2 linked regions of the Sus scrofa genome follow. The protein of the gene in region 2 interacts with the protein of the main gene of each other region in a biochemical or structural test. Links are inferred from orthologs where the notes say so. Each region holds a gene or a part of one and is shown on either strand. Other genes may lie near its edges. The genes, in order: MCMBP and MCM6.

What was found.
Region 1: the proteins of MCM6 (region 2) and MCMBP form a complex in vitro, tested with the Homo sapiens proteins (2 studies listed by BioGRID). The link is inferred for Sus scrofa from reciprocal best matches to the Homo sapiens genes MCM6 and MCMBP.

What each region holds. Positions count from the first base shown.
Region 1 is NC_010456.5:129,682,951-129,686,775, forward strand, and holds part of MCMBP (mini-chromosome maintenance complex-binding protein), read right to left. Parts: intron 3,320-3,825; coding exon 3,202-3,319; intron 1-3,201. UniProt on the Homo sapiens protein: Associated component of the MCM complex that acts as a regulator of DNA replication.
Region 2 is NC_010457.5:15,951,047-15,954,871, reverse strand, and holds part of MCM6 (DNA replication licensing factor MCM6), read right to left. Parts: intron 3,749-3,825; coding exon 3,620-3,748; intron 2,032-3,619; coding exon 1,870-2,031; intron 1-1,869. UniProt on the Homo sapiens protein: Acts as a component of the MCM2-7 complex (MCM complex) which is the replicative helicase essential for 'once per cell cycle' DNA replication initiation and elongation in eukaryotic cells.

The sequences.
Region 1 (3,825 bases), on a different chromosome or scaffold from region 2:
AATGAATTTGGTTAAGTTGCAGGATACAAAATTAATACACAGAAATCAACTGCATTTCTATATACTAACAATCAAAAATCAGAAAGAGAAATTAGGTTAACAATCTCTTTCTCACTGCATCAAAAAGAATAAAATACTTGGGAATAAACCTACCTTCTTTAGCCTATACCTTAAAAACTCTAAGATGCTGATGAAAGAAATCAAAGATGACAAATATACCATGCTCTTAGACTGGAAGAATCAATATTGTCAAAATGACTACACTACCCAAGGCATCTACAGATTCAATGCAATCCCTATCAAATTACCAGTGGCATTTTTCACAGAAATAGAACAAAAAATTTTTTAATTTGTATGGAAACACGAAAGACCCCCAAAAGCCAAAGCAACTCTGAGAAAGAAAAATGAAGCTGGAGGAATCAGGCACCCTGACTTCAGACTATACTACAAAGCTAGCCATCAAAACATTATGGTACCAGCACAGAAAACAAAAATATAGGTCAGTGGACAAGACAGAAAGCCCAGAAATAAATCCATGCAGCTATGGACAATAAATTTATGACAAAGGAGGCAGGAATATACAATGGAGAAAAGACAGTCTCTTCAATAAGTGGTGCTGGGGAAACTGGACAGCTACATGCAAAAGAATGAAATGAGAATACTCCCTAACACCATACACAGACATAAACTCAAAATGGATTAAAGACCAAAATATAAGACCAAATGCTACATAAAACTTTTACAGGATAACATAGGCTGAATACTGACATAAACTGCACAGTATCTTCTCAGATCCACCTCCTAGACTAATGAAAAGAAAGATCTAAATAAACAAATGGGACCTAATTAAACGTAAAAGTTTTGCACACCAAAGGAAACCCTAAATAAAATGAGAAGAGGAGTTCCCGCCGTGGCGCAGTGGTTAACGAATCCGACTAGGAACCATGAGGTTGCGGGTTCGGTCCCTGCCCTTGCTCAGTGGGTTAACGATCCCGCGTTGCCGTGAGCTGTGGTGTAGGTTGCAGACGCGGCTCGGATCCTGCGTTGCTGTGGCTCTGGTGTAGGCCGGTGGCTACAGCTCCGATTCGACCCCTAGCCTGGGAATCTCCATATGCCGCGGGAGCGGCCCAAGAAATAGCAACAACAACAACAACAACAAAAGACAAAAAAACAAAACAAAAAAAAAAAACCAACAAAAAAAAAACGAGAAGACACACACAGTATGGGAGAAAATATTTCCAAATGAATAGACTGACAAGCGATTCATCTCCAAAACATACAAACACCTCCTGCAACTCAATATCCAAAAAAAATAAAAAATAAAAAAATAAGCAGAAGATCTAAATAGACATCTCTCCAAAGTCAACATACAGATGGCCAAAAAACACATGAAAAGATGCTCAATGTCACTATTAGCGAAATGCAAATCAAAGCTACTAAGAGATATCGTCTTACACCAGCCAGAATGGCCATCATCAAAAAGTCTACAAACAATAAATACTGGAGAGGGTGGGGAGAAGAGAACCCTCTTACACTGTTGGTAAGAATGTAAATTGGTATAACCACTATGGAAAACAGTATGGAGGTTCCTCAAAAAACTAAAAATAGAACTACCATATGATCCAGCAATCCCACTCCTGAGCATCTATCCAGAGAAAACCATAATTTGAAAGGATACATGCACCCCAATGTTCACTGCAGTGCTATTTACAATAACCAAGACATGGAAGCAACACAAATGTCCATCCACAGAGGAATGGATACATATATCCAACAGAGTATTACTCAGCCAGATATACAACAGAGTATTACTCAGCCATAAAAAAGAATAAAATAATGCAATTTGCACCAACATGGATGGACCTAGAAATTATCATACTAAGTGAGGTTAGACAGTGAAAGACAAACATCTCATGATATCACTTACGTGGAATCTAGAAAGAGGAAACAAATGAACTTATTTGCAGAACAGAAACAGACTCACAGACCTTGAAAAAACTATGGTTACCAAAGGGGACAGGAAGGGGAGAAGGGGTAGACTGGAGGTTTGAGACTGACATATGCACACTGAAGTATATGGAATGACTGGCCAACGCGGAAGTGCTATATAGCACAGAGAACTCTACCCAGTATTCTACGATAATCTATGTGGAAAAAGAATCTGAAAGAGAATGGATGTGTGTATATGTATAACCGAATCACTTTGTTGTATGGCAGAAATTATCACAACCTTGTATATCAACTACCAACTACTTCAATAAAGCTTTAAAAAAGAAAAAAAAAAAAAAAAAAAAAAAAGGAGTTCCCGTCGTGGCGCAGTGCTTAACGAATCCAACTAGAAACCATGAGGTTGCAGGTTCAATTCCTGGCCTTGCTCAGTGGGTTGAGGATCCTGCATTGCCGTGAGCTGTGGTGTAGGTTGCAGACGCGGCTCGGATCCCGCGTTGCTGTGGCTCTGGTGTAGGCCGGTGGCTACAGCTCTGATTCGACTCCTAGCCTGGGAACCTCCATATGCCGCGGGAGTGGCCCTAGAAAAGGCAAAAAGACAAAAAATAAAATAAAAAAAAAAAAAAAAAGTGAGTCAGAGTGTGAGAAATGCTGGTCTATTTGGTCCACTACTGTTTCTTCAGGTCCTAGAAGACACTTAATAAACACTAGTTAAATGAATATCTATTTCAACCTCTTACATTTCTCAAGTAGGAAGTGATCAGCATTATCAGTCACATGACTAATCAGAAGCTATTCTCTCATTCCCAAGATCTTAGCACCATACACACACAAAAATGCATTCCAGATGTCCTTGCAAATAAAAGTAACTTGACTTTCCAACCAGAATCAAAATTAGGGAAGTAGAGATAAAGTTATTACCCTGAACTAAAAGAATTGTGCTCCTGTAATTTAGAGTTTCTTTAGATTTAAGATTTTAAAGCACACAGAGGATACCAAATTGTACTAATGAACTGACATTACAGCTAGTGCAATGTTAAGAGAGTTTACTACAGTTGTGTTGTTACTTAGAGAAATTTGTGCTAAGGCAATAAAAGTGAAATGTTTAGGGATGAGCAAAAAACACAGTACTAGGCAGGTTTGTTTTCCCTTAATGAGATCTATTAAAATCTCAAAGCTTAATATTTGGGTTGAACGAAAGACGGATTTTTAAAGGGCACTTAGGTTTATAATACAAATTTATATTGATCTTACTGCTGGAACCAGATGTTGAATAATTCGATACAAGTGTTCTGTGAAGGTACTATTCCGCGGACAACCACTCAAGTTAACCGTAAATTTTCCTAGGGGAAGAACATCTCTTCTTGTATACCTAGAAAAAAAAAAAAAGATGTCAACCAATAAGACACTTGGGTGATTTTCTGATTTCCATCAAAGAGCAAACAAAGCAGAATTAGTTTAATGTTGTTTGAAAATAAAGCAGATTTCGTTGATCAGCTGTTCTTTAGTTTTGTTTTGGTTTTGGCAATATCCACGGCAGAGTTCCTAACTCTGTGCCACAGCAGTGACCCGAGCCACAGCAATGACAACACCGGATCCTTAACCCACTGAGCCATCAAGGAATTCTAGATCAATTGTTTTTTTAATCAGAAACAGCAAAAAATATTATAGCCAGCAGGTCCCATCGCAGCTCAGGGGTTAACGAACCCAACTAGCATCCATGAGGACGAAGGTTCCATCCCTGGCCTTGCTCAGTGGGTTAAGGATCCAGCGTTGCTGTGAGCTGTGATGTAGGTTGCGAACACGGCTCAAATCCCACAATGCTGTGGCTGTGGCGTAGGCTGGCGGCTACAGCTCCGATTGGACCCCTAGCCTGAG
Region 2 (3,825 bases):
TAGGTCGCAGATGCAGCTCGGATCCCATGTTGCTGTGGCTGTGGTGTAGGCCCACGACTACAGCTCTGATTCAACCCCTAGCCTGGGAACCACCATATGCTGCGGGAGTGGGCCTAGAAATGGCAAAAAGACCCAAAAAAAGGCTATCAAAATTCTATGCACTTTTCGGAGTTTCTGTCATGGTGCAGTGGAAAAGAATCCGACTAGGAACCATGAGGTTGCAGGTTCGATCCCTGGCCCCACTCAGTGGGTTAAGGATCAGAGGTTGCCATGAGCTGTGGTATAGGCCGTAGACACAGCTCAGATCTGATGCCACCATGGTAGTGGCTATGGCTGTGGTTGGCAGCTATAGATCTGACTGGACCCCTAGCCTGGGAACCTCCTATATGCCACAGGTATGGCTCTAAAAATTAAAAAAAAAAATTCTATATACTTTTCAGTGATCATGTTTGAATGTGGTATCTCCCCAGATACTCCTTCTTTGGGAAAAAATTCACTAATCTCTGTACTCTTTGCTGGTAATAGCTCAGTCTCCCACTCATATTTAATATGCCTAATTAAACATGTCTTGCTCTCACCAAATTATCAGTAATGGAAGACAGGAGCTCGTTTATTCATTAAATGTCCATTAAATGTCAGAAGAATCGAAAGATAATCTTTGACTCTTGACTTGATAATAAGTCACATAGGGCGAAAGTATTTTATAATTAGTAAAGCACCATTATCAGAGAATTAGAAAAAATAAACAAAAAAAAAAAAGAAAGAAAAATTAAACAAAAAGGAAAAAAAAGCCAAAAAATAAAACCTATGGAATAGAAATGGTTAATGAAGTCAGAACGGTGGTTACTTCTGGGGAAGGGTGCAAACTTTCTAGAATGATGTAAATGTTCTATATTCTGAGTTGGGTGGCCCCAAGGGTGTATGTAAAAAGTCAAACCTGTACATTTTCCTCTATGTGAATTATACATCAATCGTACTATTAAGAAAAATAGCCAAACTCTTTCCTCAAACAAAATCTAACACTGTCAAAAATATAAAGCTAGATAAAAGTAAGCTGGTTTGCTCGAAGCAGAAATGAGGGCATGAATGTTCTTCCACTCTGCTCCCTGTTTACTCCTCTAAATATCCACTGTACAACCCAGGGCTCGAAGAACAATTTAATATCCACACATTATACAAACCTAAGGAAGACAACTCTCCTTAGGAGAATGTGGGCTACGTCATTCTACCTGTATCCCCAGTCCAGAGGCCTGGCGCGTTGTAGGGTTTAAACAAGTTTCTCTCAAACGAATGGCATTAATCTTGAACTCACTACTATATATTTATCTATAATCTACATTATGATCATTTCATTACTATTAATCTAACTATTAAATTCATTAAATGCTTGACAGCAACCTTCTACAAGGGAAAAATCCCACAGTCACGTATCATATGAGCAATCAACAGTCACATTAAAAAAAAAAATCTGGGAGTTCCCATCGTGGCGCAGTGGTTAACGAATCCGACTAGGAACCATGACGTTGCAGGTTCGGTCCCTGCCCTTGCTCAGTGGGTTAACGATCCGGCGTTGCCGTGAGCTGTGGTGTAGGTTGCAGACGCGGCTCGGATCCTGCGTTGCTGTGGCTCTGGCGTAGGCCGGTGGCTACAGCTCCGATTCAACCCCTAGCCTGGGAACCTCCATATGCCGCGGGAGCGGCCCAAGAAATAGCAACAACAACAACAAAAGACAAAAATAAATAAATAAAATAAAAAAAATAAATAAAAGGAAAAAAAAAATCTGCAGCTAATGCTAGTATGTCCTACACCAAAGCTGGCTTACATAAGTCAACAAATGATTTCTCTATTATGTTGAAGTGATTTTGATACCTCATCACAGCAGTGCATCCGAGCCATTGCTTCAGAAAGACGGATCATGCTCTCGAGCTGTCGCACTGTAATCCTCCATGAAGACTTGGTTACTCCAGAACCATCCCTCTGGCGAAGGCGTTTATACTGTTCCACTATGAAGTCCTCTGACTCTTTAGAAATCTGTGTCAGAACATCAATGAAGTCAGCATTTTTACTTAAACATAAGTTTAAGAGCTTCCCAGGTGGAGATATTCTGGGGGAACTGAGAGGGTCAAAGCTTTGAAACCAATGACAAGGAATTAATACTGAAATGTCTTTTAAAAGAAACTGATACTTAGGACTGTGAATTCCATATACTAATTTTATGAACAGGGAGACAGCAGAGTTAGTATTTAAGCAAATGACCATTTCTAAAGGACATGTATACCTAAGATGCCAAAGCTCATTAAAGAAGCTACCATTCAGGCTATTCTTGAGCAGCTAATTAACTTATGCAGTTTTTGGGAAAAAGAGGAGTCAATAATTAATAGTAGTCCCACTTTATCTGTAGCTCCATTTTCTGTTACTCATGATCAACTGCAGTTTGAAAAGATTACATAGAAAATCCCAGAAATAAACAATTTATATGTTTTAAATTGTGCACTGTTCTGAGTAGTATAGTGAAATCTTATGTCACCCAATGTCCCACCCAGGGTGTGAATCATCTCTTTTTCCAGTATATCCATGCTGTATATACTACTTGCCTATTAGTCACTTAGTACCCATCTTGGTTACCAGATCAACTGTTACAGTAACAAAGGGTTTGTGCTCAAGTAACCCTTATTTTACTTAATAAAAGCCCCAAAGTGCAAGAATAGTGATGTTAGCTATTCAGTTACTCTCTTATTGTGCCTAATTTATAAATTAAGCTTTATCACAGGCATGTATGTGTAAGAAAAAAATAGTATATATAGGATTTGGTACTATCTGTGGTCAAAGGCATCCACTAAGGGTCTTGAAATATATCCCCTGTGGATATGAGGGAACTGCTATATATATATATACACACCAGATATTTTGATAAAGCTTAGTATCTACTGAATAACAAAGTGAGGCATACTAAAGAATCCTAAGTTTTTCAGAGCTAGGAAGTAAGCATGTTAAGGAAGCAGACCAAGGTAACAGAAGGACCAGCATACAGTGATGGAGAACAAATGCCTCTGCAAATTAAAGTGATGCTTCTCTTGGGACATGAGAGTCAATCCTGATTATTTTAGATAACCAAGCGAAGGAGCTGGAGAATTAAAATCTAAGGATAACTCCCAAAAGTCAAGCCAGAAATAGTGTAAAAACCTCAATGAGAATCAAAGTTTTTGATTCTACTTTAGCAAAATGCTTAAAAAAAAAAAAAAAAAAAGGCATTATAGAGGTTTATTTCAGAAACAAATGTCCAACTCAATACTCTGGATCCAGCACAGAATCCAATAAACTACATCAATTACTGTAAGATAGTTATTCATGTTCATTCACTTACAAAAATCTTTTTACTGGCATCTAACAAGTAAAAGAAATGTTAATTTTTCACTTTTAAAAAATTCCCTTTTCTCAGCTCTCACTGAAGAAAACTGTTCTCAAAAAAAAGCCCTCAAGATCAAACGAAAAAAAACAAATAACTTTAAAAAAAACACCCGAACAAGTCAAGTTCAGTTAATTTCCAGGTGATGCTTTTGTTTAAATGTAACTTTCACATACTCATAATGCCTGATTACAATTCAAAAAGGCAGGTTACCTTGGGTTTAAACTGTCTTGCAAAAAGAAGATACCTCCTGATATCATCAAGGGAATAGACACGATCAATTGAATCCTCAATTCTTGAATGCAAGTCTACTATTCGCCTGGCAATGGCATAATCTGTGACCTAATTCGAAATCAGAAAATCACTTTGATTAGTTATAACAATAAACACTTCAGGCTATCTCAGGCATTAAGAAATTA